Oryctolagus cuniculus: one gene and its partners. The protein of the gene in region 2 purifies or fractionates together with the protein of the main gene of each other region. This does not show direct contact. Links are inferred from orthologs where the notes say so. Each region holds a gene or a part of one and is shown on either strand. Other genes may lie near its edges.

Region 1 (5,026 bases), on a different chromosome or scaffold from region 2:
CTGTGGATCTTCCAGCAGCTGTTCCGCCGTGTCCAGGCTACCAAGCCCCAAGCCTCTCGCCATGAATCTGCAGAGATCTTTGTTGTATGCCAAGGTGGCCTTCACGTCCTTCTTTTGTTGACTTAGCCTCGTAATTACTGAAGCACAGGTGTTTTGAAGTGTTTATTTTTATCTGCAGAGCTGCAAAGATAGATTTTCCTTTCTCTGAATCACTTCCCAAATGCACACAACAGCCAGGGCTGGGGCCAGGCCGAAGCTAGGAACCCAGGACTTTACCTGGGGGTGGCAGGGGCCCAGGCACTTGATGCCACTTCGGCCTCCCAGGATGCATTAGCGGGAAGCTGGATTGGAAGTGAAATAGCCAGGACTCAAACTGGCACCCTGATGTGGGATGCAAGTGTCCCAAGTGGCAGCTTAACTTCGTGTACCACGAAGCCTGCCCCTAAACACACTTGTGTCTCATCACTGTAGGATTCCTGGCTCCTGACAAGGTTGACAGTAAATTCTTCGATCCTAAATTTGCCTTCAAGGAGGTTGAAGTTCAGGCTAAAACTGTTACTGAGTTGGTGACTAAGAAGAAGCCGAAGGTGCGTTTGGGGGGTAGGGTCCTGGAGCCCTGGAGAGACTGGGCCTGGCGGGCCTGGAGATGCCTTGCAAGGGACTGCCAGCCATTCTGTTGCCCTCCCTAAGGCTGAAGGCTACGCAGAGGGCGACCTCACTCTCTATCACCGTGCCTCCGTCACTGACTTCCTCCGGGCTGCCAACCCTGTCGACTTCCTCTCCAAAGCCAGTGAGGTGAGTTCCCAGACTTTGAGGGACGAAAGAGAACCCCAGAAACACGGCCTGAAGATCTTCCAACTCCTTTACTTCCCTCAAACAGATCTCGCTAGATGATGAAGAGTTGGCACAGCATCCGGCGACCACCGAGGACGTACGGGCATGCTGTCAGGACATCAAGGTGCTGGGGCGCAAGGAACTCAGGTATGCGGTCGCGAGGCCAGAGGGGCCAGGAACCCTGGAGGGAGGAAAAGGCCCAGGGAAGCCATGATGTTGGACCTCTGCACACAGGCTGTGCTGTGCTAGAGGTGTGAGGTGGGGGCCTCTGGCAGGAGAGCGCAAGTACAAAGGGAGAGCTGAGATCAGTCATGGTATTTCTGTGGCAGGTCCCTCCTGAACTGGAGAACAAAGCTTCGGCGACACGTAGCCAAGAAGCTGAAAGAGCAAGCAAAGGCACTGGACATCAGGTGAGGACGGAGCTGAACCAAGTAGATGTCGACTCGACGAAGCCCCTGCCTAGGAAAATGACGTGATTCCTTGGACTGTTTTGTCAGCCTCAGCTCAGGAGAGGAAGAAGGTGAGGAGGAGGAGGAGGAGTCAGCAGCTGGGATCACAAGGCAGCCCTCTAAAGAGGAGGAGGAAGAGGAGCAATTAAACCGGACTCTGGCAGAGATGAAAGCCCAGGAGGTGGCAGAATTAAAGAGGTGATTAAAGTGGTAGAGCCGTGGGTTAGGATATCATCCCACACTGAAGTGCACGGGTTTCACGCCTGGCTTGGCTCCAGCTTCCTGCTAATGAATACCCAGTGATGGTCAAGGTCTCCCATGTGGGAGACCTGGGTGGAGTCTTGGCTGTTATGGGCATCTGCGGAGTTGAACCAGTGGATTGGGAGGTCTAAGAAAAATCTAAGAAATGGTGTGGGGAGGGGCCGGGGGAGCCCCATTGCAGAATTGCAGAGTGTGAAGGTGGGAGGAGGACAGACATGGAAAGGGAGTTTTCAGCGCTGGGCAGGTGTAACCCCTTAACCTATCCCTTCAGAAAGAAAAAGAAGCTGCTGCGTGAGCAGAGAAAGCAGCGGGAGCGCGTGGAGCTGAAGATGGATCTGCCTGGGGTCTCCATTGCAGATGAGGGGGAGACTGGCATGTTCTCACTGCGTACCATCCGGGGCCACCAGGTGAGCAGGGGCTCGGGACAGACTGAGGAGACTGAAGGTGGAGGGACCGATGTCTTCTGTGCTGAGTGATGCTGGGCTTCAGGTGCCTACTTCACCCACTAAATCACTTGGTGAGGGGCTTACTGGGGTACAAAACAGTAACTCAAAGGCCAAAGCAAACATACACCTAAAATGATGAAATCCGGGTTTATGAGTGTGATGCGGATTGATTCTCCTGGAGCTGGAATATTAGGACCAACAGTTGTGGTTATAATACAGGGAACCAGGGCACCTGGGTTATAAGCACAAGTAGAGAGGATTTCTAAGACCAAGTTAGCCTTGCATTGGGCTGCCGCATGCTACTCTGTTCCTCCTAGAGAACATCTTTTCTCATAAAATGAGTCATGAAAAAGAGAGCTTTTCTGGCTCTTATGTGGGAATGTCTTAACCAAGTCACCTTTCCCCTAGAGGCCCTAGAGAGACGCAGGCTAGGTTCTTGCAGGCTCGCTTCTCGTCCCAGCTCCATTAGGCAGTAGTCAGGCATACAGCCCCTATCTTTGTCAGTACCTACAGTGGCCATACAAATGAAAGCTATCTTTGCCATGAGGAAAATACATTTTGAGGTTATTCTAAGTTGATTTTTTTTAAAAGATTTATTTATTTGAAAGAATTACACAGAGTAGGAGAGGCAGAGAGAGGTCTTCCATCCGCTGGCTGGTTCACTCCCCAGTTGGCTGCAGCAGCTGGAGCTGAGCCGATCCAAAGCCAGGAGCTTCTTCCCCGTCTTCCAAGCACCTGGGCCATGTTCTACTGCTTTCCCAGGCCATAGCAGAGAGCTGCATCAGAAGTGCAGCAGTCTGGACTCAAACTGGCGCCCATATGGGATGCCGGCATTGCAGGTGGTGACTTTACCCACTACATCACAGCACTGGCTCCTCTAAGTTGATCTACGTGAAACATTTCTGTTAGATCTATGTTACCTACCCACCTTTATTTGGTAGAGAATCAAGACGCATATATGAGATTTTTCCCAGGAGGTGACAGAGGTGCCTTCTGAGAGGAATTTTAAAGGAAAGCTGGGGAGTAGACATTTAACCTGGAGACTAAGGCATCCAGCCCCACATCGGAGTGCCTGGACCTGACTCTGGCTCTGGTTTCTGTCTCCAATCTCCTGCCAATACAGACCCTGGGAGGCGTGGTGATGACTCAGGTAATTGGGTTCTTGTCATCATATGGGAGAACTGAGTTGAATTCCCTGCTTTGACCCTGGTGCAGCTCACTGTAAGCATTTGGGGAGTGAACCAGTGGATGAGAGTTCTCTCTGCCTCTCAAGTGAAATAAATAATTTTTTTAGAGATTATTTTATTTTTTTGAGAGGTAGTGTTCCAGACAGAGAAGAGGGAGAGGGAAAGGTCTTGCATCCTCTGGGCCACTCCACAAATGGCTGCAACGGCTGAAGCTGAGCCGATCCAAAGCCAGGAGCCAGGAGCTTCTTCCAAGTCTCCCACGTGGGTGCAGGCACCCAAGCACTTCGACCATCTTCCACTGCTCTCCCAGGCCATAGCAGGGAGCTGGAACAGAAGAGGAGCCAGCTGCAGGTGGAGGATTATTTTAAATAATCTTTAAAAACAAAGGAACACCAGGCTGGCGCTGCGGCTCAATAGGCTATTCCTCTGCCTTGCGGCGCCGGCACACTGGGTTCTAGTCCCGGTCGGGGCGCTGGATTCTGTCCCGGTTGCCCCTCTTCCAGGCCAGCTCTCTGCTATGGCCCGGGAAGGCAGTGGAGGATGGCCCAAGTGCTTGGGCCCTGCACCCGCATGGGAGACCAGAAGCACCTGGCTCCTGCCATCGGATCAGTGTGGTGCACCGGCCGCAGCGGCCATTGGAGGGTGAACCAACAGTAAAGGAAGACCTTTGTGTCTCTTTCTCTCTCACTGTCCACTCTGCCTGTCAAAAAAAAAAAAAAAAAAAAAAAAGGAACACCAATGTTTTAGAACATTTTAAGATTTGCTGCTATGTGGGCCATGGTGTGGGCCATGGGGGTACTTTCCCAGTAACACTTCCTTGTGCTACCACTGACGATAAGACAACTGAATGAGACAGGTTAGTACCTTGGAATGGATCTGCCACGGTGTTGATTACAACTAAGACATGAGCATGAGAAAGAAGCACCCTGTTCCTTTAAAACACTTGACCTCTTCGTTGAATTTCAGTTGTTAGAGGAAGTAACACAAGGGGATATGAGCACTGCAGACACATTTCTGTCCGATCTGCCACGGGATGACATCTATGTGTCGGAAGAGGAGGAGGAGGAGGAGGATGCGTCTCTGGACAGTGACCTGGATCCAGAGGAGCTGGCAGGAGTCAGGGGACCTCCGGGTCTGAAGGAACAGAAGCGGTAAGAGTGTGAGAGCCACCCTCACCCAGAGTCCGGGTGCAGGCAGGGTGGGGCCTGCCAGCACTCAGGATCCCTGAGTCTCCCTTTGGGTCTACAGTGTGCAGTTTGCTGAAGTAGAAGATGATAAAGAAGAGGAAGGGGAGAATCCACTGCTGGTGTCACTGGAAGAAAAGACAGTACTGCAGGAAGAACAGGCTAACCTGTGGTTCTCAAAGGTGAGGTGCTGAGGCCAAGACTCATAGGAAGTTGGGATTCCCGGGAGAGATGGCTAAGTGTCCCCTACCGCAGGACGGCTTCAGTGGGATCGAGGACGATGCAGATGAGGCCCTGGAGATCGGGCAGGCTCAGCTGTTAAACGAGAGCCGTCGGAAGGCGCAGCAGCAGCCAGCGCCGCCACCAGCACCTTCCAGTCTGAAGAGTCAGAGACAGTCTCGGTGCCGGGAAGAGGCCTCTGAAGTGAGGACGGCTCCTCTGGAGACAGACGCTGCCCCTGGCCCTGGTGGGGGAGATGACAGCTCAGACAGTGACAGCAGTAGCAGTGAGGATGAAGGGAGGTAAGTGGTGCAGCTGGATGGGGAAGAGGCAGCAGTGGTTTGGACACTCCGTTCTCTAAGATTCTGCTTTAATCAGCCTGGGCACAGCCTGGATGGCATGGTTTCTGTAGGTTCCCTAAGTGGTCTTTAGAAGCAGGGTTGAGG
Region 2 (6,238 bases):
AAAATTATAATGCATAAGATAGATTGTTTATATGTGAATCTTACAAGTTCATTGCTTCCATTTTATTTGTAGGTAGTGTAATTACAGTATTTTTGAAGTTGTTAGCAATTTCATTAAAATAATCCAGAAACACTGCAATAATTTTTTATGTTCTGAAATAATCTTTTTCTCATTTGATCCTATTGCTTTTTTTAAGTGATTACATAACAGTTCAAATAGAGCATTAGATTATCACTCTTAAGATAGTGCTTTATAAATTTATATTATAGAAAGATTAATTTCATAGTAAATTGTTCCTATGTGATTTCTACATAGTGAACATGTGATTTTTTATTGCTATTTAGCAAGTCTTACCTAATGATCTGGAAATAGTTATTTGGGGTCTTCTAAAGCAACTTCGAATTTTCTCTCATTTAGTTTTATTGCTAACATCCTTATATAATTGCTCAAACAGAAGCGCAGTAAAATTGTAACGCTTAAGGTTCTGTTTATTTACAAGTTAATTTCCTGGGGCTGACTTTGTGGTGCAGGGAGTAAAGCTGCTGCATCCTGTATAAGTGCTGGCTTAATTTCCCAGATGCCCCACTTCCAAACCAGCTCCCTGCTAATACATCTAGGAAAGCAGTATGTTTGGGCCCCTGCCAAATACTGGAGTTCCTGGCTTCTTGCTTCAGCCTGGCCCAGACCTCCTGGCTGTTGTAGCCATTTGAGGAGTAAACCAGTGAGTGGATGGAGGATCAGTCGATTTCTTTTTCTCTCTCCATTGCTCTGTATAAATACTTCTTTAAAAATATATTGATTTGGGGCCAGCAATGTGGCGTAGCGGGGAAAGCTGCCACCTGCAGTGCCGGCATCCCATATGGGTGCCAGTTCAAATCCCGGTTGCTCCACTTCCAATCCGGTTCTCTGCTTTGGCCTGGGAAAGCAGTAGAAGATGGCCCAAGTGCTTGGGCCTTGCAACCTGAGTGGGAGCCTGGAAGAAGCCCCTGGCTCCTGGCTTTAGATCAGCCCAGTTCCAACCATTATGGCCATTTGGGGAGTGAACCAGCGGATGGAAGACGTTTCTCTCTGTCTCTCCTTCTCTCTGTAACTCTACCTCTTGAATAAATATTTTTAAAAAGGTTTTATACCTAAAATAAATAGTCCTTGCCCCATAAAAAAGGTATTTTTGCCTTATTTTATATTTTTAAAGTAAATTTTTAAATGGAAACATTGATGTGATTTTACTCATCAAACAGGCATGCAAGGTTTATTAACCCAGTCCCTTATTATTGGCTTTTTTGGTTGGTTTTTGTGATGAACGCTCTTATCAGGGTTTATGATCCTTTCCTTTTGGACTTAAGATTAATTTATTGATTGATGTGAAAGGTAAGAGCTCCTCCACCTGCTGATCCATTCCCCCAAAATGCCCACAACAGACAAGACTGTTCCAGGTCAAAGCCAGGACCCCCAAACTCCATCTGTGTCTCCCATGTGGGTGGCAGGGATCCAAACCCTTGGGCCATCATCTGCCTTCCTTAGGTGCATTAGCAGGGAGCTGGTTAGGAAACACAGTATGGAGGACTCAACACTCCAATATGGAATACAAGCAAGATCCTTTTCCTTCATAGATCCTGTTTTTGTCTACTTGTGAGACAGAGAGTTCCCTCACATATGCTGATTCATTCCCCCAGATGCCTGCAATTCCTCCATCCCACCCCAGGCTTGAACTGCAACTTTGGGCCAGGAAACCAATCCCGGTCTCCCACGCAGGTGGATAGAATCGGTTCAAATGAGCCAGTCCCCCTGCCTCCCAGGGTCTCCTTTAGCAGGAAGATGTAGTCTGGAACAGAGGCCAGTACTGAAACCAGGCACTCTGAGGCGAGACGTGGGGGTCTTGTCCGCAAGACCAAGCTAACCAACCTGCCCAATAGGCCTTATTTTTAAGGTTCTAGATACTTCTCTCAGGTCACTCGAGAATTTCCTTCTCCCCTGCCTGAAAGGGGTTAGGGGCCAGAGGAAGAGGGTACCAGGATGCATGCCCTACCCCCGGAAAAGGAGGAGCTGCGCGGGCCACGGAGCAGGGGGGGGGGGGACTGGGGGTGCAGCTGGGCTGGAAGGCCCAGGGGCGTATTCTGCAGGGCCTCCGCCCACGGACCCCTCAGATACCCGGGTTGATAGAAAAAAGTCTGAGCGGGAGGCGGCGCTGTGGAGAGGCCCGGGTAAAGCCCCGACTGCAGTACTGGCATCCCATATGGGCGCTGGTTCAAGTCCCAGCTGCTCCACTTCTGATCTAGCTCTGTTACGGCCTGGGAAAGCAGAAGATGGCCCAAAAGTTTGGGGCCCTGCACCTGTGAGTGAGACCTGGAAGAAGTTCCTGGCTCCTGGCTTCAGATCAGCACAGCTCCATTTGTTGCGGCCAATTGGAGAGTGAGCCAGCGGATGGAAGACCTCTCTCTCCCTCTCTCTCTGCCTCTCCATCTCTCTGTGTGTAACTCAAATAAATAAATCTTGAAAAGAAAAGAAAAGAAAAGAAAGAAAGAAAGAAAAGAAAAGAGAAAAGAAAAGAAAAGGAAAGAAAAGAAAAGAAAAGAAAAGAAAAGAAAAGAAAAGAAAAGAAAAGAAAAGAAAAGAAAAGAAAAGAAAAGAAAAGAAAAGAAAAGAAAAGAAAGAGAAAACAGGCTGAGATGGTCAAGAAAGCAGCAACGGCGCAGGGGCCCCTTTGCGCCCAAGGCCACGCCCCCACGGGCACGCCCCCGCGCCGCGACCTTTGCCCAGCTCTCACCACGCCCCTTCCGCCTTACTTCCGCACCGAAGGCTCGGCATTTCCGGGAGCGCCGCGTGGGTCAGCCTGCGCACCTCCGGCATGGCGGACTTCTCCAGACCCGCGGCCCCCATTCTGTCTCTCAACCCGGAGAAAGACGCACAGTTTCGAAAGGAGGTGGAGCAAGTCCGCAAGCGCGTCACCCAGGTGAGCGACCTCTGCCTCCTCTGGGAGAGGAGGGATCCGAGGCGGAAAGTTCGGTGCTGTAGGCGTGGGTTCCAGGTCTTCACGTGGCGACGCGCGAGGAGGCGGAGACCGAGCCAGGGAACAGCGCTACCGGGCCGCTTAGGGACCCAGTTAGCGCCATTGCTTCCGATTTGCTGGTGCTGATGGGGGGCCCCAGGGATTTGGGGGTTCTTGGGAGACATTGCTCACCAGCTAGGTCCCCTGACGTTGAATTTGTGTTTTCTTGGGTCTTCAGCATTAAATCCAATGTGGGAAACTTAAAAGTGTTGCTTAGGGAAGGTACGGGGGCGATGACGCTGAGGGTCGGTGGGCGTCTCAAGAACTGTCGGATTAGACGCAGGTAGCCGGCGATCTGCCTGCAAGTTGAAGGGTGCCGGTGTGCAAAGTTCTCGTGTCCTTGCTTATCTACGCTGGCCCACGTGGGCTGCTTGGCCGCTGTCCTTGTGGGGAGAAGCCTACGATTAAGCGGAAACAGTATGCTCTTGGACCCAGCGCTAGGGGTTTTGCAAGTTTTGTTGCCATGCAATTGTCTTATTAAAGAGGATTTATCGGGTTTGTATGTCTTCAGAAAAAAAAGCAAGAAACCCTTACTCCTGGAGTAATCTATGTGGGCCACCTACCTCCAACACTCTATGAAACCCAGATTCAAGAGTATTTCTCCCAGTTTGGCACTGTTACAAGATTCCGACTGTCCAGAAGCAAAAGGGTAAGTCAGAATCCCCTGTTGTGTCTTCCGAACGCGTCATCCTTGACAGTTTTATGCAAAGTGCTCGCATTCTGCTCCTTAGACTTCCCTCTGGAAAGGGGGCTGGCTGAGGTTTTGAAACAAACAGCCTCTAGAGCAAAATTAGAATTTTAAATGTTTGTGTACCAGAAGTACTTGCCCCAAGTTCACAAGTTAAATTGGCAGTCCTGGCAAATGAATCATGTTCATTTACCAGGGGTAAATGAACTTCAGTTTGAGAACCAGATTCACACTTGTTTTAGCCTCTGTTAGAGACATCAGTAATAGCCAAGATTTATAGTGAAGGCAAAGGACTCTGGAGCTAGCATACTCATGCTGCAGTTTTGTAATCTGCAAAATGTGGGTAAAGTAGCATCAGCTTCCTATGAGTGTTCAGTTAGAGATTAAGCTGCTTCCTTAGGCATTTTGGAGTCTCCTAGAAGAAATTTTACTGACTACCCAGCTGTCTACCTCTCAGCTGTATCAAGTGCCAGCTTGATGATATTCTTGTTTCAGATCTTTCTTGTCTTGACCATAAGGAGAGTTTAGGCTCCTTGAAGACCTTTTTTGTTTTTCTTTTTTCTTTTTCTATTTTTAGTTGACTTTATACACATATGATTAACATAGAGTTCAACAAGTAATATGAAGAAGAGGGGGAAAAAATGTCCCATGAAGTATCACAGATCAGGGAGAACATATGGTAGTTGTCCCTTTGGGACTGGCTTATTGCACTAATTTACAAATGACCAGATTTTTTTTCTTTTTTTCATACGGACCACTGTGTAGTATTACATAGAGTACATATCCATAATTTCTTTATCCAGTCTTCAGTTGATGGGCATTGGGGTTGATTCCATGCCTTAGCTATTGTGAATTGAGCTGCAGTAAACATGGTGGTACAAATAACTCTTATTTGCTCATTTCATTTCCCTTGGGTAAATTCCCAGGAGTGGGATGGCTGGGTCATGTGGTACATCTATATTCAGATTTCTGAGGTGTTTCCAAATTGTTGTCCATAGTGGTTTTACTAGTTTACATTCCTACCAACAGTGGACTAGGACACCTTTTTTCCTATATACTCACCAGCACTTGTTGTTTGTTGATTTCTGTGTGAAAGGCATTCTAATTGGGGTGAGGTGAATCTTCATTGTGGTTTTGATTTGCATTTCCCTGACAGCTAATGATCCTGAACATTTTTTCTTGTGTCTGTTGGCCATTTGGATTTCCTCTTTTGAAAAATGTCTTTTGCCCATTTCTTAACTGGGTTGGTTGGTTTGTTGTGGTGGAGTTTTTTGATCTCTTTGTAGATTGTGGTTATTAATCCTTTTTATCAGTTGCATAGTTTGCAAATAATTTCTCCCATTCTTTCGGTTGCCTCTTCACTTCCCTGAGTGTTTCTTTGGCAATACAGAAGCTTCTCAATTTGATGTAATTTCATTTGTGAATTTTGGCTTTGATTGCCTGTGCCTCAGGGTGTCTTTTCCATGAACTCTTTGCCTGTGCCAGTGTCTTGCAGGGTTTCCCCAGTGTTCTTTAATTTGATGGTATCAGGTTGTAGATTTAGATCTTTAATCCATATTGAATGGTTTTTTGTGTAAGGTGTGAAGTAGGGGTTTTGCTTCATCCTTCTGCATGTCGAAATCCAGTTTTCCCATCACCATTTGTTGAAGAGACTGTCCTTGCTCCAGAGATTGCTTTTAGCTCCTTGGTCAAATATAAGCTGGTTGTAGATGCTTGGATTGATTTTGGTGTTTCTGTTCTGTTCATTTGTCTATCCCTTTGTTTTTGTACCAGTACCAAGCTGTTTTGATTGTAACTGCCTTGTAGTATGTCTTGAAATCTGGTATTGTGATGCCTCTGCCTTTGTTTTTGTTGTATAAGATTGCTTTAGCTATTAAAGGTCTCCTGTATTTCCAAATTAATTTCAGCATCATTTTTTCTAGGTCTGAGAAAAATGTCTTTGGTATTTTGATTGGTATCACGTTGAATCTGTAAATTGCTTTTGGAAGAATGGACATTTTGATGATATTGATTCTTCTAATACATAAACATGGAATATTTCTTCATTTTTTTGTATCTTTTTTTTTTTTTTTTTTTTTTTTTTTTTTTGACAGGCAGAGTGGACAGTGAGAGAGAGAGACAGAGAGAAAGGTCTTCCTTTTGCCGTTGGTTCACCCTCCAATGGCCGCCGCGGCCGGCGCGCTGCGGCCGGCGCACCGCGCTGATCCGATGGCAGGAGCCAGGAGCCAGGTGCTTTTTCCTGGTCTCCCATGGGGTGCAGGGCCCAAGCACCTGGGCCATCCTCCACTGCACTCCCTGGCCACAGCAGAGGGCTGGCCTGGAAGAGGGGCAACCGGGACAGAATCCGGCGCCCCGACCGGGACTAGAACCCGGTGTGCCGGCGCCGCTAGGCAGAGGATTAGCCTAGTGAGCCGCGGCGCCGGCCATTTTTTTGTATCTTTAACGTATTGTAATTCTCATTGTAGAGATCTTTGACATCCTTGCTTACATTTATTCCAAGGTAT
Region 3 (5,779 bases), on a different chromosome or scaffold from region 2:
TGGGGGTGACTCGTCGAGGCCCTAGCGGTGGTGGTAGGGTATCTGCGTGTGTGTGGTTATGAGGGTGTGACTGGGCCGGGGGTCGAATGGGTCGAGTCCCTCTTACCTGCCGCTGACCAGCGGTGTGGGTCTGTCTGGATCTGCAGGTGCCTGGTACTGGACGAGGCTGACCGGATGGTGGAAAAGGGCCACTTCGCTGAGCTCTCGCAGCTGCTGGAGATGCTCAATGACTCCCAGTACAACCCACAGAGGCAGACGCTTGTTTTCTCTGCCACACTGACCCTGGTGCATCAGCTGCCCGCCCGACTCCTTCATAAGAAGCACACCAAGAAAATGGACAAAACTGCCAAGCTCGACCTCCTCGTGCAGAAGGTCGGCATGAGGGGTAAGCCGAAGGTCATCGACCTCACAAGGAACGAGGCCACGGTGGAGACCCTGACGGAGACCAAGATCCACTGCGAGACCGAGGAGAAAGACTTGTACCTCTACTACTTCCTGATGCAGTACCCGGGCCGCAGCTTGGTGTTTGCCAACAGCATCTCCTGCATCAAACGGCTCTCCGGGCTCCTCAAGGTCCTGGACATCATGCCTCTGACGCTGCACGCCTGCATGCACCAGAAGCAGCGGCTCCGAAACCTGGAGCAGTTCGCCCGAATGGAAGAGTGAGTGAAGCCGCCCTCGGCCTGGCCTGCAGCGCCGTGCGGGAGTGGCGGGAGGTCACCGCTGCTGCTGGGCCTTGTGAGAGCAGGCGGTCACCGCTGCTGTAGGGCCTTGTGAGAGCAGGCGGTCACCTCTGCTGCTGTAGGGCCTTGTGAGAGCAGGCGGTCACCTCTGCTGTAGGGCCTTGTGAGAGCAGGCGGCCCCCTTCTGCATGGCGTTCGGCAGGGTCACCGCGTTTAGCAGATTTGGATGCTGCTGATGTCCTCTGACGCTTTCGTAGCACTGAGTAACGGGGACAGTACCTAGTGTTGTTGACACTTCGTCCATTATGACCTAGGCCGGCACTTCAGAAACACCACGTCCCTCCACTCCCCCATCATCCAGGATAGATTTGTAGATAAGGGCACAAACTCTCGAACTGGGCTTCATGAGATCGAATCCTGACCCCACTGCTTCCTTGCTGGTCAAGTTGTTTGACTTCTGTGTGCTTGAGTTTGCTCATAGTGGGATAATAATATATAGACGTCATAGTGTTAGGGTTAACGGATGCGTGGATGTGAAGAGTTGGCGGCAGCTCTGTAAGGCACACAGTGTGTGCTTGTGAGATGTTAGCTCTAGTAACTCCCGCCCTCCTACTGCCACTATCACTATTCCCAAAAGCTCACCAGCTTGGCCAGGGTTTCTCTACCTCGAAGTGGCAGGTCTGAGCCTCTGGGAGGGCTGTCCAGCGCAGGGCCTGTGTTGTCTGTGTCCGTCCAGACCAGGTGATGCTCAGCAGGTAGGCTGCAGATGGCCAGGATGAAGGCCTGGGGGCTGAGGCATTTCCCCCACCTGAGTGCTTGTCAGGGCAGAGGGTGTTTTGTTTCTAGAACTAGTGTCACGTTTACCTGGCTTTGATTATTACGTGTGGTGGTTATGGGGATTGGCTTAGCGCAGGGCTTGACACACTAAAGCCCATGGCCAAGTCTTGCTTTCTCCCTGCTTTTATAATAAAGTTTTATTGGAATATGGCAAGACCCATAAATGTATCATCTAACCACTGTTCCACTGAAATGGCAGAGTTGAGTGGTTTCCACAGCAACTGTATTGCCCACAAAGCTGGAACTATTAACTATCTGACCCTTTACAGAAAAATTTGCTGACCTTGACTTAGAATAATAGTTAAATGTCTTATAGAGTTTGACTTGCACCACATTCCCCATCCCTATGTCAGAAATAAGGGCGAGGAGGACCCTGAAGGACCAAGAATCGGGAAGTCTTAAGGCGTGCTGTAAGTGCTTCTGAGTCTGCTTGGACTGAGTGTTAAGGAGCGTCACGTACCTTTATCTGGTGCTTATCATGAGCTAGAGAGTGGTCTAGGTGTTGCTAACCTAAAGTGAGTAATGCAAAGTGCTTGTTCTCACAGAACTTAGTTTCTAGAGGAAGAAGAAATGTATCACAAAGTCTATAATATAGCAAGTGGCGTTGAGCGCTACCAAGTAAGCTGGGGCTTGTGATGGGGCGAGTGTGGCTGGCGAGGTGTCTGACGGGGAGATTTGAGCAGAGAGCTGAAGAAAGCAGGGAGAGGTGTCACGTGGAAATATGAGAGAAGAGCTTCAAGACCCAAGGATGAGCAAGTACAAAGGCTGGGGGGAGGGGTGGAGAGGAAGCCCAGGAGGTCCTCTGCCGCTGACCAGGGCTGACCAGGGCAGGAAGGGGAGGGTGCCCGGGTGGAGGTCACCTGCCCAGATCGTGTTTGGCCTCATTCAGTTCACCACAGGGGGTCCCTGTCATTGCAAAGTTGGTTGGATCCTTGATTACACAACCCAGCAGCCATGTAAGTACCTTGGGAAGTTGCTCTCGGAGGCTCAGTCTCTATCAATGAAGGGCAGATGATAGTGTTGTTGGTAAGACAGAGAGTGCTGGTGAGGATCGTGGCGTTTATAGTGCTCGCAGAGGTAAGAGTTCGGTTGTGATAGCTGTTAGAGTTATTAACGAGCTTTCTCTCTTCACCACAGCTGTGTTCTCTTGGCAACAGACGTGGCAGCTCGGGGTCTGGACATTCCTAAAGTGCAGCATGTCATCCACTACCAGGTAGGGGCGTCTGGGAATTCGTCAGCATCTTCCTGCTTCGGGATTCTAAAGCGAGGAGGAGGAAGAATTGTTGGGCCCAAGGCCCCTGCAGTTATCGTAGTACCTGCTTAGGATTCTTACCAGGATAAAAGAAGGTAACACATGCAGAGTTTAGGGACCACTGGCATGTAGTGAGCACTGGCTAAGTGTGCTGTGGATAGCAGTGAGAGGAGCCGTCTGCCTGACAAATACCAGCACAGCGTTGCGGCTGGCAGTGTCGGGTCCAGGCCTGGCCGCCCGGGTCGGACTCCCCGGTCTGCGGCTTCACAGCGGCATGCTCTTTGATTGGCACACGCGCGCGCACGCACACACACCGTTTTTAGTTGTCAGTTTTCGTTGTCACTTCAGTTGTCGTCATTGTTTCTAAACTGGAAGTGACACACTGCTTACCCAGCCAGGTTGTCATGAGAATTAAACTGAGCTGATGCTGAAGTGCCTGCCCCAGTGGAAGTACTCAGTAGGTCTTTGAGGGTGCCGATTTCAGTGTAGCAAATCTTTACTATTTTTTAGAGAAGGGGCTGGGTCAGCCTTTGTGGGAGAAATCAAGGTGAACCATATACAGGCCCAGCTCCTGAAAGTCCCAAGTCCCAGGGAGGTGGGGAGAGGACACAGCCGTTATGTAGGGGAGAAGCTGTTAGAAAGTTAAAGGATGCGGTGGGACAGAGAGAACTCCTGGTTTGGGAGGTTGGAACCTGCTTTCTAGAAGGTGCTTGGCATTTAAGGATGGAGAGGAGTTGGACACGAGGTGGGAAGGGAAGGAGGGAAGAGTCTAGGATGGGCAGTGTTCAGGGGCAGATGGCTTAGGGCGAGAAGAGGGTTGTACTGGGAGAGGAGTAGCTACAGAGGCCGGGGGGTAGGCTGGGGGCCGGGTCCCTGAGGCCGAGTGTCGGATTCAGGAGCTGCGCCTTTATCCTGTATGTGAGGCGTGGCAAACAGGTCTCAGTCCCGTGTGACCCTCGTACATTGGAGGGCAGCAGGGGTCGCTCAGGGCTCTGCACGGTCCCTGCAGCGGGACTGGTTTTTTTTGTTTGTTTCTTGGCACCACCACTTCATTGGGTAACCTGGGGGGAGTTGTTAACCTCTCTGTTTTAGTTTCCTAGTCTATAAAACGTGGGTAATCTTATGAAGAATCAATTTCGTGTTTCTGTTGTGAGGAATAGGTGCATCCGTACCTGCAGAGAGCTTAGAGCTGTGTGGCCCGAGGTGGTCACTCCGTAGATGCTGGTGTGATTAGCGCTGCCTGTCACTCAGAGTGAATGGAGAGCCGGTGGGATTGGTTTACTAGGGGGAGTGTCGTGCTCGAAGCCGAGACCCAGATAACACCGGCGGCTTTGGGCGGGGCAGGACAAGTGGGAAGGATAGAGACGGAGGAAGTGACTGCGGGGTCCACTGCGTGGGCACGGGGACCTGAATGGCTGAGCCGGGGACAGTCGGAGTGTAGGGCTAAAGGGGGAAGGCTGGACATGCAGAATCAGCGGCGGTTCCCACCTGCCTGGCCTGGGGGGCAGAGGGGCCGGTTGGGGATGCGACCCTGAGGCCAGGGCCAGTGTGCCGCGGGCAGGGCTGACCTCCCGGGTCCTCCGCTGGCAGGTCCCTCGCACCTCGGAGATCTATGTCCACCGCAGTGGGCGGACCGCTCGTGCCACCAGTGAGGGCCTCAGCCTGCTGCTGATAGGACCCGAAGATGTGATCAACTTTAAGAAGATTTACAAAACCCTCAAGAAAGACGAAGACATCCCGCTGTTCCCTGTGCAGACCAAGTACATGGATGCCGTCAAGGTAAGGAGAAGTGGACCCCAGGGCTGCGCGGAACCTGGTGCTCACGGGCCCATGTTGGGACACTGCAGTACAACAGCACCACCCCGGAACCAAGGGTGGCTCTGCCAGCAGCTCCGCGGGGCATTCATGGAAGGGACCGGACATGCTGAGCCCTGGAGGAGGGACCAGAGCGGAGGCGTTTCCTCCCCGGACTGTCTCCTCACTGCCTGACCCTGACGTGTCCACCCCACCCCCACTGGACTGTGCGGTGTGCACAGCTGCCTGGGCCTCTCGTCAGGGCCGTGGGCAGTGAGGTGTCTGTGTCTCACTGAGATCCGGGCTGATGGGTTGGCACATCCCTGAAGCAGGTGCCGGCAAATCCTGACTTGCAGCCATTCTCTGAGTGAATGCCGCCTCCGTGGACCACAGTATGTCCGGGCCCACAGCAGGGCAGGCCAGGCTCTCCCCAGCAGGTCCGTGTCTGGGCCCACAGCAGGGCAGTCCAGGCTTTCCCCAGCAGGTCCGTGTCCGGGCCCACAGCAGGGCAGGCCAGGCTCTCCCCAGCAGGTCCGTGTCCGGGCCCACAGCAGGGCAGGCCAGGCTTTCCCCAGCAGGTCCGTGTCCGGGCCCACAGCAGGGCAGGCCAGGCTCTCCCCAGCAGGTCCGTGTCTGGGCCCACAGCAGGGCAGGCCAGGCTCTCCCCAGCAGGTCCGTGTCCGGGCCCACAGCAGGGCAGGCCAGGCTCTCCCCAGCAGGTCCGTGTCCAGGCCCACAGCAGGGCAGGCTAGGCTCTCCCCAGCAGGTCCGTGTCCAGGAGCGGGCCAGACTGTACTGAGGTTCAGGTACAGAGGGAGCTGTGGGATGGAAGACCTGTGGGAATACCGTGAGGCTCTGAAGCTGCAGCTGAACTGGAGGGGCATAAAGGATCTGATTCCTGGAACTGGGGGAGGAGGAGCCTGGGACACTTGAGGCTGTTAACTCCTTTGGTTTGAAAGGAGTGTCGGCTGTGCCCGCGGGGCTGGTGGGGTGTCGGCTGTGCCCGCGGGGCTGGTCAGTGTCGGCCGTGCCCGCGGGGCTGGCGGAGTTGCAGATGGAAAGGTGGAGGTCAGAGAGTTTCTGTGAGGAGCTAACCTGGCTTCCCGTGGTTCTTTTTCCTGTGTCATAAGATCTTGTCTGTTTCTTTGGGGCATCCTGTTGCCGTGGTCTAAACTCCAAATCCCACCAGCGGGGGAGTTGAAGTGTTCAGTCT
Region 4 (5,536 bases), on a different chromosome or scaffold from region 2:
TCCACCTAACCCCTGCCCAGTCCCCCCAGCTCCCCAGACCCGTCCCTCTAGCCCCCCGCCCAGCCCCCGAACCCCCAGCCCTCCGTCCAGACCCTCAGCTGCTCCCCGACCCCCGAGCCCCCCCAGGTCCTGCCCAGCTTCCCCCAAGCCCCCGCCCGGCCCCGCCCATGGGCAGTCGTCCACGGGCCGCCAGGCGGGGTCGCCGTCGGCAAAGCCGGTCCGGCCTGAGCGGGCCTCTGGGCAGCCGGGGGCTCGGGCCGCGTACCCGCAGGGCAGAGGGAGGCGTTCGAGAACCTGCGGCCGGGCCGGGTCAGAACCAGCGGCGGCTCCGGGCCGCGGGGAGAAAGCTCCTGGCGTGGGGCTGAGCGTGGGCGAGAGGCGGCCAGGAGCAAGGGCGCATTGAGCTGTCCCAGGCTACCCCTCCCATCTCAGAGCTGTCCCAGGCTATCCCTCCGCTCTCGGGCCCACCAGACGCCCTGAAGTGCACGTCGGTTCCCGTAGGTGCGGACCAGGGCGCGCAGCTCGAGCCCGGGCAGGTGGCCGAGTGGGCGCTGTCCACCGCCGCGGTGCTGGTCACGGCGGCCGGCGCCCAGGTTTCGGCTGAGAGCGGAGCGGGGCGTGGGCGCCGGGCCCGGCTGTGGGCGCAGACGGCCCAGGACCCCGCTCCCGCGGGAGAGGTGCCGGCGGAGCACGGATCCCCGGGGGGCAAGGCGCCAGCGTGGAAAGACCGGAGCCGGGAGGAGTCACTGAGTCGCTGGGGGGTGGGGGGGGAGTTGGGAGCCGGGGAGGGGGAGGGCGGCTGGGAGCTCGCTGGGCACTGAGGGCCGCGGTAGCGGGGCAGGGGCGGCCGTCCCGGGAGTAACCGGACAGGCGCTCAGGGAGGGAGGCTGGACCAGCTGGCTCCCATTCCGGCAGGGGCACGCGGGCGGCGGCTCCCCTGGAGGCGGCCGGACAGCGGCAGGTGCACACCCTGCAGCCCAGGGCCTGGGAACCCCATCCGGGTCACCTCCCCAGGGGGGCAGGGACCCCGGCCCTGGCTGTTGTGAGCACCTGGGGAGTGAACCAGCAATTGCCCCTCGCGCGGCCCTTCCCCGTCTCGCCGCCCCCTCCCTCCGCCCCTCCCCCAGGCCCCTCTCGCACCCTCTAGGGATGTGCAACCCAGGCCCCCGTGCCGGCCCTGCCCGGGGGAAACGGGCTCTGCTGCCACCTGGCGGCCGCTCGCGGTAACGCTCCGGGGGCGTGGCTCTCCGCCGACACCCGCCCGCCAATTCCCGCACAACAGGATTGCGGGGCTCCGGGAAGCCTGGAGCCAGCACTGGGGGGTCAGCTGCCACGGGGGAGACCCGGATGGAGCTCCTGGCTCCTGGCTTTGGCCTGGCCCAGGCCTGGCTGCTGTGAGCTCTTGGGGCGTGACCAGCAGGTGGAATCTCTCTCTCTCTAACTCTGCCTTTAAGTAAGTAAATAAATAAATTTTTTAGAAACCGTGGATTGCATTATTTAAAGGCGGGCCTTCTATGACGTGGAAATCAATTCTCAAGCTGCTCGGCGTTTGAGGATTTTTTAAAATTTATTTGGAAGGCGAGAGGCCGAGCAGCCGGTGCGTGGGGCGACGCGGGCGGATCCGGGACTCCAGGCCTGGGGGAGGGCTGGAGGCAGGCCGACACGGCTGCTCCCGGGCTGTGCACGGGTGGGCGGGAGGTCCTGGTCTGCGGGGGCGGCGTCTCTCCGCCCCCACCTCCGCTCCACGGGGGCCCTGGGCGAGGAGAAGCCGGGCGCCCCGTGGGGGCGGGGGGCGGCTCCCCTGCGGCCATGCCCTGTGGTCACGGTTAGGACCCCCCCCCCAACGCCATGGCCTGCGGTCAGGGTGAGGACCCCCGTGCGCGGGGAAAGGGTGCATGTGGCCGTCCGCTGAGGTCCCGGGGGCACAGCCCGGAGGTGGGGGCCTCCTGGGAGAGGTGGCGCCCCCCCCCTAAGCCGGGCCGCCGCCACCGCCCTGATGCACCTCACGGCCGGGGGACGGCGACCGCCCCCAGATTCGCCCCGGCAGATCTGAGCAGGCCCCCAGCTCCCGCGAGCAGACAGCCTCTCCCTGGGACAACCCTCCCCACCCCGTGGATACCCCTGCCCGCCGAGGCAGGGGCAAGGAAACCGGGGCAGCTGCTTCCACTCAGAATAAGCGTGGCTTGCTTGGTTAATAAAAACTTAACCCCTGGAAAAACATTTATGTGGAAGACAGAGACTGCTCCAGCTGCTCATTCACTCCCTACCAAAGCCGTCCGCTGCCTACAACTCCCGGCGTGCTCGGAAATCGGAAGCTCCGTTACGTCCGCGCCGGAATACGTGCGCATTGCCGCGCTACCTCCTGGGAAGTGTAGTCCGGCTGCGAAGAGAGGCGGGGTAGTGGGTGGCAGGCGGAACTGGAGCCAATGACAAAACAAGGCTCCGTGAGCGCCAGGACAAGGAACCAATGGGCGCGTCGCGGCGAGGCGGCGGGACTTCCGCCGGCGAACCCGTGGAGAGCGGCTGCGCGAAGGAAAGGACTTCCTTTTCGAGGGTGGCGGCCATCGCGGACGGAGCGCCATGAAGGCTTCGGGCACAGTAAGGCGGCCGCGGCGCGGCGTCGGGGCGGGGGGCGCGGCGCGGGCCCTGGTGGGGGGCGCGGGGAGCGGACGGGGCCCCGCAGCTGGAGCGCGCCGCCGCCCGGGACCCCGATGGCCGCGCTCGGGAGCGGCCAACATGGCGGCGGGCGCCGCGTGGGGAGCGGGTGCGGGCCGGGCGGGGCGCCGCGCGGGGTTGCGACCTCCTGCCCGGGACTGGGGGCTGGGGTGGTCGCGGGTGCCGCGTGGGGAGCGGGCCCGGGCGGGGCGCCGCGCCGCGCGATGTGGCGACCTCCTGCCCGGGGCTGGGGGCGGGCCGGGGATTGACGCGGGGGTCGCCGGCCCCGGCTGACGCGCGCGTCCCCGCAGCTGCGGGAGTACAAGGTGGTGGGCCGCTGCCTGCCCACGCCCAAGAGCCCCGCGCCGCCGCTCTACCGCATGCGCATCTTCGCGCCCAACCATGTGGTGGCCAAGTCGCGCTTCTGGTACTTCGTGTCGCAGCTGAAGAAGATGAAGAAGTCGTCGGGCGAGATCGTGTACTGCGGGCAGGTGCGCCGGGGGCCGGGCGGCGTGGCCGGGGGGCGGCGGGGGTGGGGACGGGCCGGGGCGGCGCGGGGGGCTCCGGGGGCGGCCGGGGCGGAGCGGGGGGTCCGGGGCGGGGCGGCGGGGGGCGGCCCGGACCCTCACCCGCCCGGCCGGCCGCAGGTGTTCGAGAAGTCGCCGCTGCGCGTGAAGAACTTCGGCATCTGGCTGCGCTACGACTCCCGCAGCGGCACGCACAACATGTACCGCGAGTACCGCGACCTCACCACGGCCGGCGCCGTCACGCAGTGCTGTAAGCGGGGACGGGGGGCGCGCGCGGGGAGGGGGGCGCGCGCGGGGAGGGGGGCGCGCACCCGAACCCCAGAGCCGCCGCGCGCCGTGGCCGCGGCTCCAAGCGGGGTGCGCACAGCAGCGGGGCCTCGTCGCCTCCGGGGGGCTGCGGGTGCCCCCGGGAGTGAATGCGGAGGCCGCACACGCGCGGCGGGGCGGGCGGGGGTGGTCCCTGCGGTGCCGGCCGCCCCGCCCTCACCGCCCCACCCGCCCCGCAGACCGCGACATGGGCGCCCGGCACCGCGCGCGCGCGCACTCGATCCAGGTGATGAAGGTGGAGGAGATGGCGGCGGCGCGCTGCCGGCGGCCGGCCGTGAAGCAGTTCCACGACTCGCGCATCCGCTTCCCGCTCCCGCACCGCGTGCTGCGGCGCCAGCACAAGCCGCGCTTCTCCGCCAAGAGGCCCAACACCTTCTTCTAGGCCCGCGCCCCAATAAACGCCCGCAACCTGGCCCGCCTCCGCCTCCGTGTGCGCCTGCGCCGTGCGGGGCTGGGGGGAGTCCAGGCGCCGAGCCGGGCGGGTCGGGGACATCGCGGGTGCCGCCCCCTGGGGCCTGAGGGGCTCGGACCGCGGGGGGCTGATGAGCCAGGAGCTCCATCCGGGTCTCCATGGGACCTGCGCCGTCATCCACTCGCCCAGGCCTCAGCCTGGCTCTTGGGACGCAACTTGGGGCCCCCGCAGTGTCCTGGGGAGGAGGTGGGCACCGAAGCCCGAGAGGCGCTGGGGGCACCAGACTCCGGGCAGCGCCTGCGCACCCGCCCTGAGCGCGGGGCGACCCAGTCCGAGGGTAGCTGGGGGTCCTCCCCCCTCACGTCCCGTGGAGTCGGGGTCTCGCTCTGCCCCGGCGGTGGGCCCGATGGCCTGCGCTCCTGCAGCCCCCGTGGGCCGTGAACACAACAGGAAGTCGGTGACCGCTCACCCTCTGGGCCTCAGGGGTGGCTCCGTGCCAAGCGGAGCTAGGGCGTCCGGGTGCGGTCCCTGCGCTCGGGGGGCGGGGCGGGGGTTTTCCCGGGAGCTGCGGGGCACAGGACGCAAACCAGAGTTTCCACCCCAGAGTTGGCACAGGGCTGGGGCCGGGGTCCCACGCGCCGCTGCCTCCGGCTGGGGGTGTCCTCTGGCCCCTTGAAGGGTGGGGGGGGGCCTGCGCTGGGCTTGCTTGACCCCCAAGATCGCGCTCAGCGGGATGGCTGCTCCGCAGGGGCAGCACCAGGACCGGGCACAGGGACCCCAGATGACCCCAGGTCCTGACGGCAGGGTGGCCGCTCTGGCTGCGGCCGCTGAGTGAGGCGCGCAGGGTCGGCCGCGGGCCAGGTCCCGGTGTGGGCACCGCCCGAGCCACGTGCGCCCCAGCAGGTGCGGGGGAGGGGGGCCACCCGCTGTCCGCCCGGAGTTCACGGCCCAGCGCCGCCCACCCAGCGGGGCTCCTGGAATCCGGGACAGGTTCCAAGTCCCCACTGGTGCACTTGTCCCCACCTGCAGCCTCCCCGGCTTGGGGCGCCGCCAATTCTCAGAAAACTCTGCGGGGGCCTCCCTGCCCCGGCCTCTCCTGCGCCCCCGCGCCGCCCCCCACTACTCAGCGCTCGCTCCGCCGCACCCCGGGCGCCCGCGGTGGCCCCAGCCCCCCTGCTTGCGGTCGAGCCAGGCCCCCTGCAGCCTGCTGTGTCCACAAGGGCATGCAGTAGGCGCTCTATAAGTGAGCCTCCGTCGAAGCCTGGGTTTTCCCACGGCGGGGGGGGGGGGGGGGGGGACGCGGCCACTCGGCTCGGCGGTGCGGGCCTCCCAAGAGAGCGGCGACGGCGCCCGAGGCGGCCCAGAGGTCTCGGGTCTCGGCTTGCACCCCGAGAATTCCTAGGGTGGGCGGAGCCGGGCCTGTGGACGCGCGGTCCCCCCTTGAAGTTGGGGCGCCGTCCGTCCTTAAGCTCCACCCGAGCGCAGGGGATGTCGCCTGCCCAGACCTCGGTGGGGCTGCCAGGGGCGCGGGAAGCCCCTCCCCGGGTGGTCGCGGGGGACCCGGTGGCCGCTGACACTGGATGAGCGCCTGCCCCGCCCCCACCGGTGCCCCCTG

Evidence for each region.
Region 1: the proteins of NIFK (region 2) and FTSJ3 fractionate together in Homo sapiens (co-fractionation; 3 studies listed by BioGRID, with this or other methods). This does not show direct contact. The link is inferred for Oryctolagus cuniculus from reciprocal best matches to the Homo sapiens genes NIFK and FTSJ3.
Region 3: the proteins of NIFK (region 2) and DDX24 purify together in Homo sapiens (affinity purification with mass spectrometry; 3 studies listed by BioGRID and IntAct, counting the BioPlex papers as one, with this or other methods). This does not show direct contact. The link is inferred for Oryctolagus cuniculus from reciprocal best matches to the Homo sapiens genes NIFK and DDX24.
Region 4: the proteins of NIFK (region 2) and RPL18A fractionate together in Homo sapiens (co-fractionation; 3 studies listed by BioGRID and IntAct, with this or other methods). This does not show direct contact. The link is inferred for Oryctolagus cuniculus from reciprocal best matches to the Homo sapiens genes NIFK and RPL18A.

The regions. Positions count from the first base shown.
Region 1 is NC_091448.1:14,893,297-14,898,322, forward strand, and holds part of FTSJ3 (pre-rRNA 2'-O-ribose RNA methyltransferase FTSJ3), read left to right. Parts: coding exon 1-94; intron 95-471; coding exon 472-587; intron 588-690; coding exon 691-795; intron 796-880; coding exon 881-981; intron 982-1,163; coding exon 1,164-1,244; intron 1,245-1,331; coding exon 1,332-1,481; intron 1,482-1,815; coding exon 1,816-1,951; intron 1,952-4,143; coding exon 4,144-4,328; intron 4,329-4,425; coding exon 4,426-4,543; intron 4,544-4,616; coding exon 4,617-4,882; intron 4,883-5,026.
Region 2 is NC_091434.1:128,334,159-128,340,396, forward strand, and holds the start of NIFK (MKI67 FHA domain-interacting nucleolar phosphoprotein), read left to right. Parts: upstream 1-2,729; 5' UTR 2,730-2,845; coding exon 2,846-2,950; intron 2,951-3,557; coding exon 3,558-3,695; intron 3,696-6,238.
Region 3 is NC_091451.1:38,920,850-38,926,628, reverse strand, and holds part of DDX24 (ATP-dependent RNA helicase DDX24), read left to right. Parts: intron 1-146; coding exon 147-662; intron 663-2,657; coding exon 2,658-2,733; intron 2,734-4,362; coding exon 4,363-4,551; intron 4,552-5,779. UniProt on the Homo sapiens protein: ATP-dependent RNA helicase that plays a role in various aspects of RNA metabolism including pre-mRNA splicing and is thereby involved in different biological processes such as cell cycle regulation or innate immunity.
Region 4 is NC_091447.1:65,464,047-65,469,582, forward strand, and holds RPL18A (large ribosomal subunit protein eL20), read left to right. Parts: upstream 1-2,378; 5' UTR 2,379-2,580; coding exon 2,581-2,598; intron 2,599-2,966; coding exon 2,967-3,146; intron 3,147-3,302; coding exon 3,303-3,432; intron 3,433-3,486; exon of another isoform or gene 3,487-3,617; intron 3,618-3,688; coding exon 3,689-3,891; 3' UTR 3,892-3,921; downstream 3,922-5,536.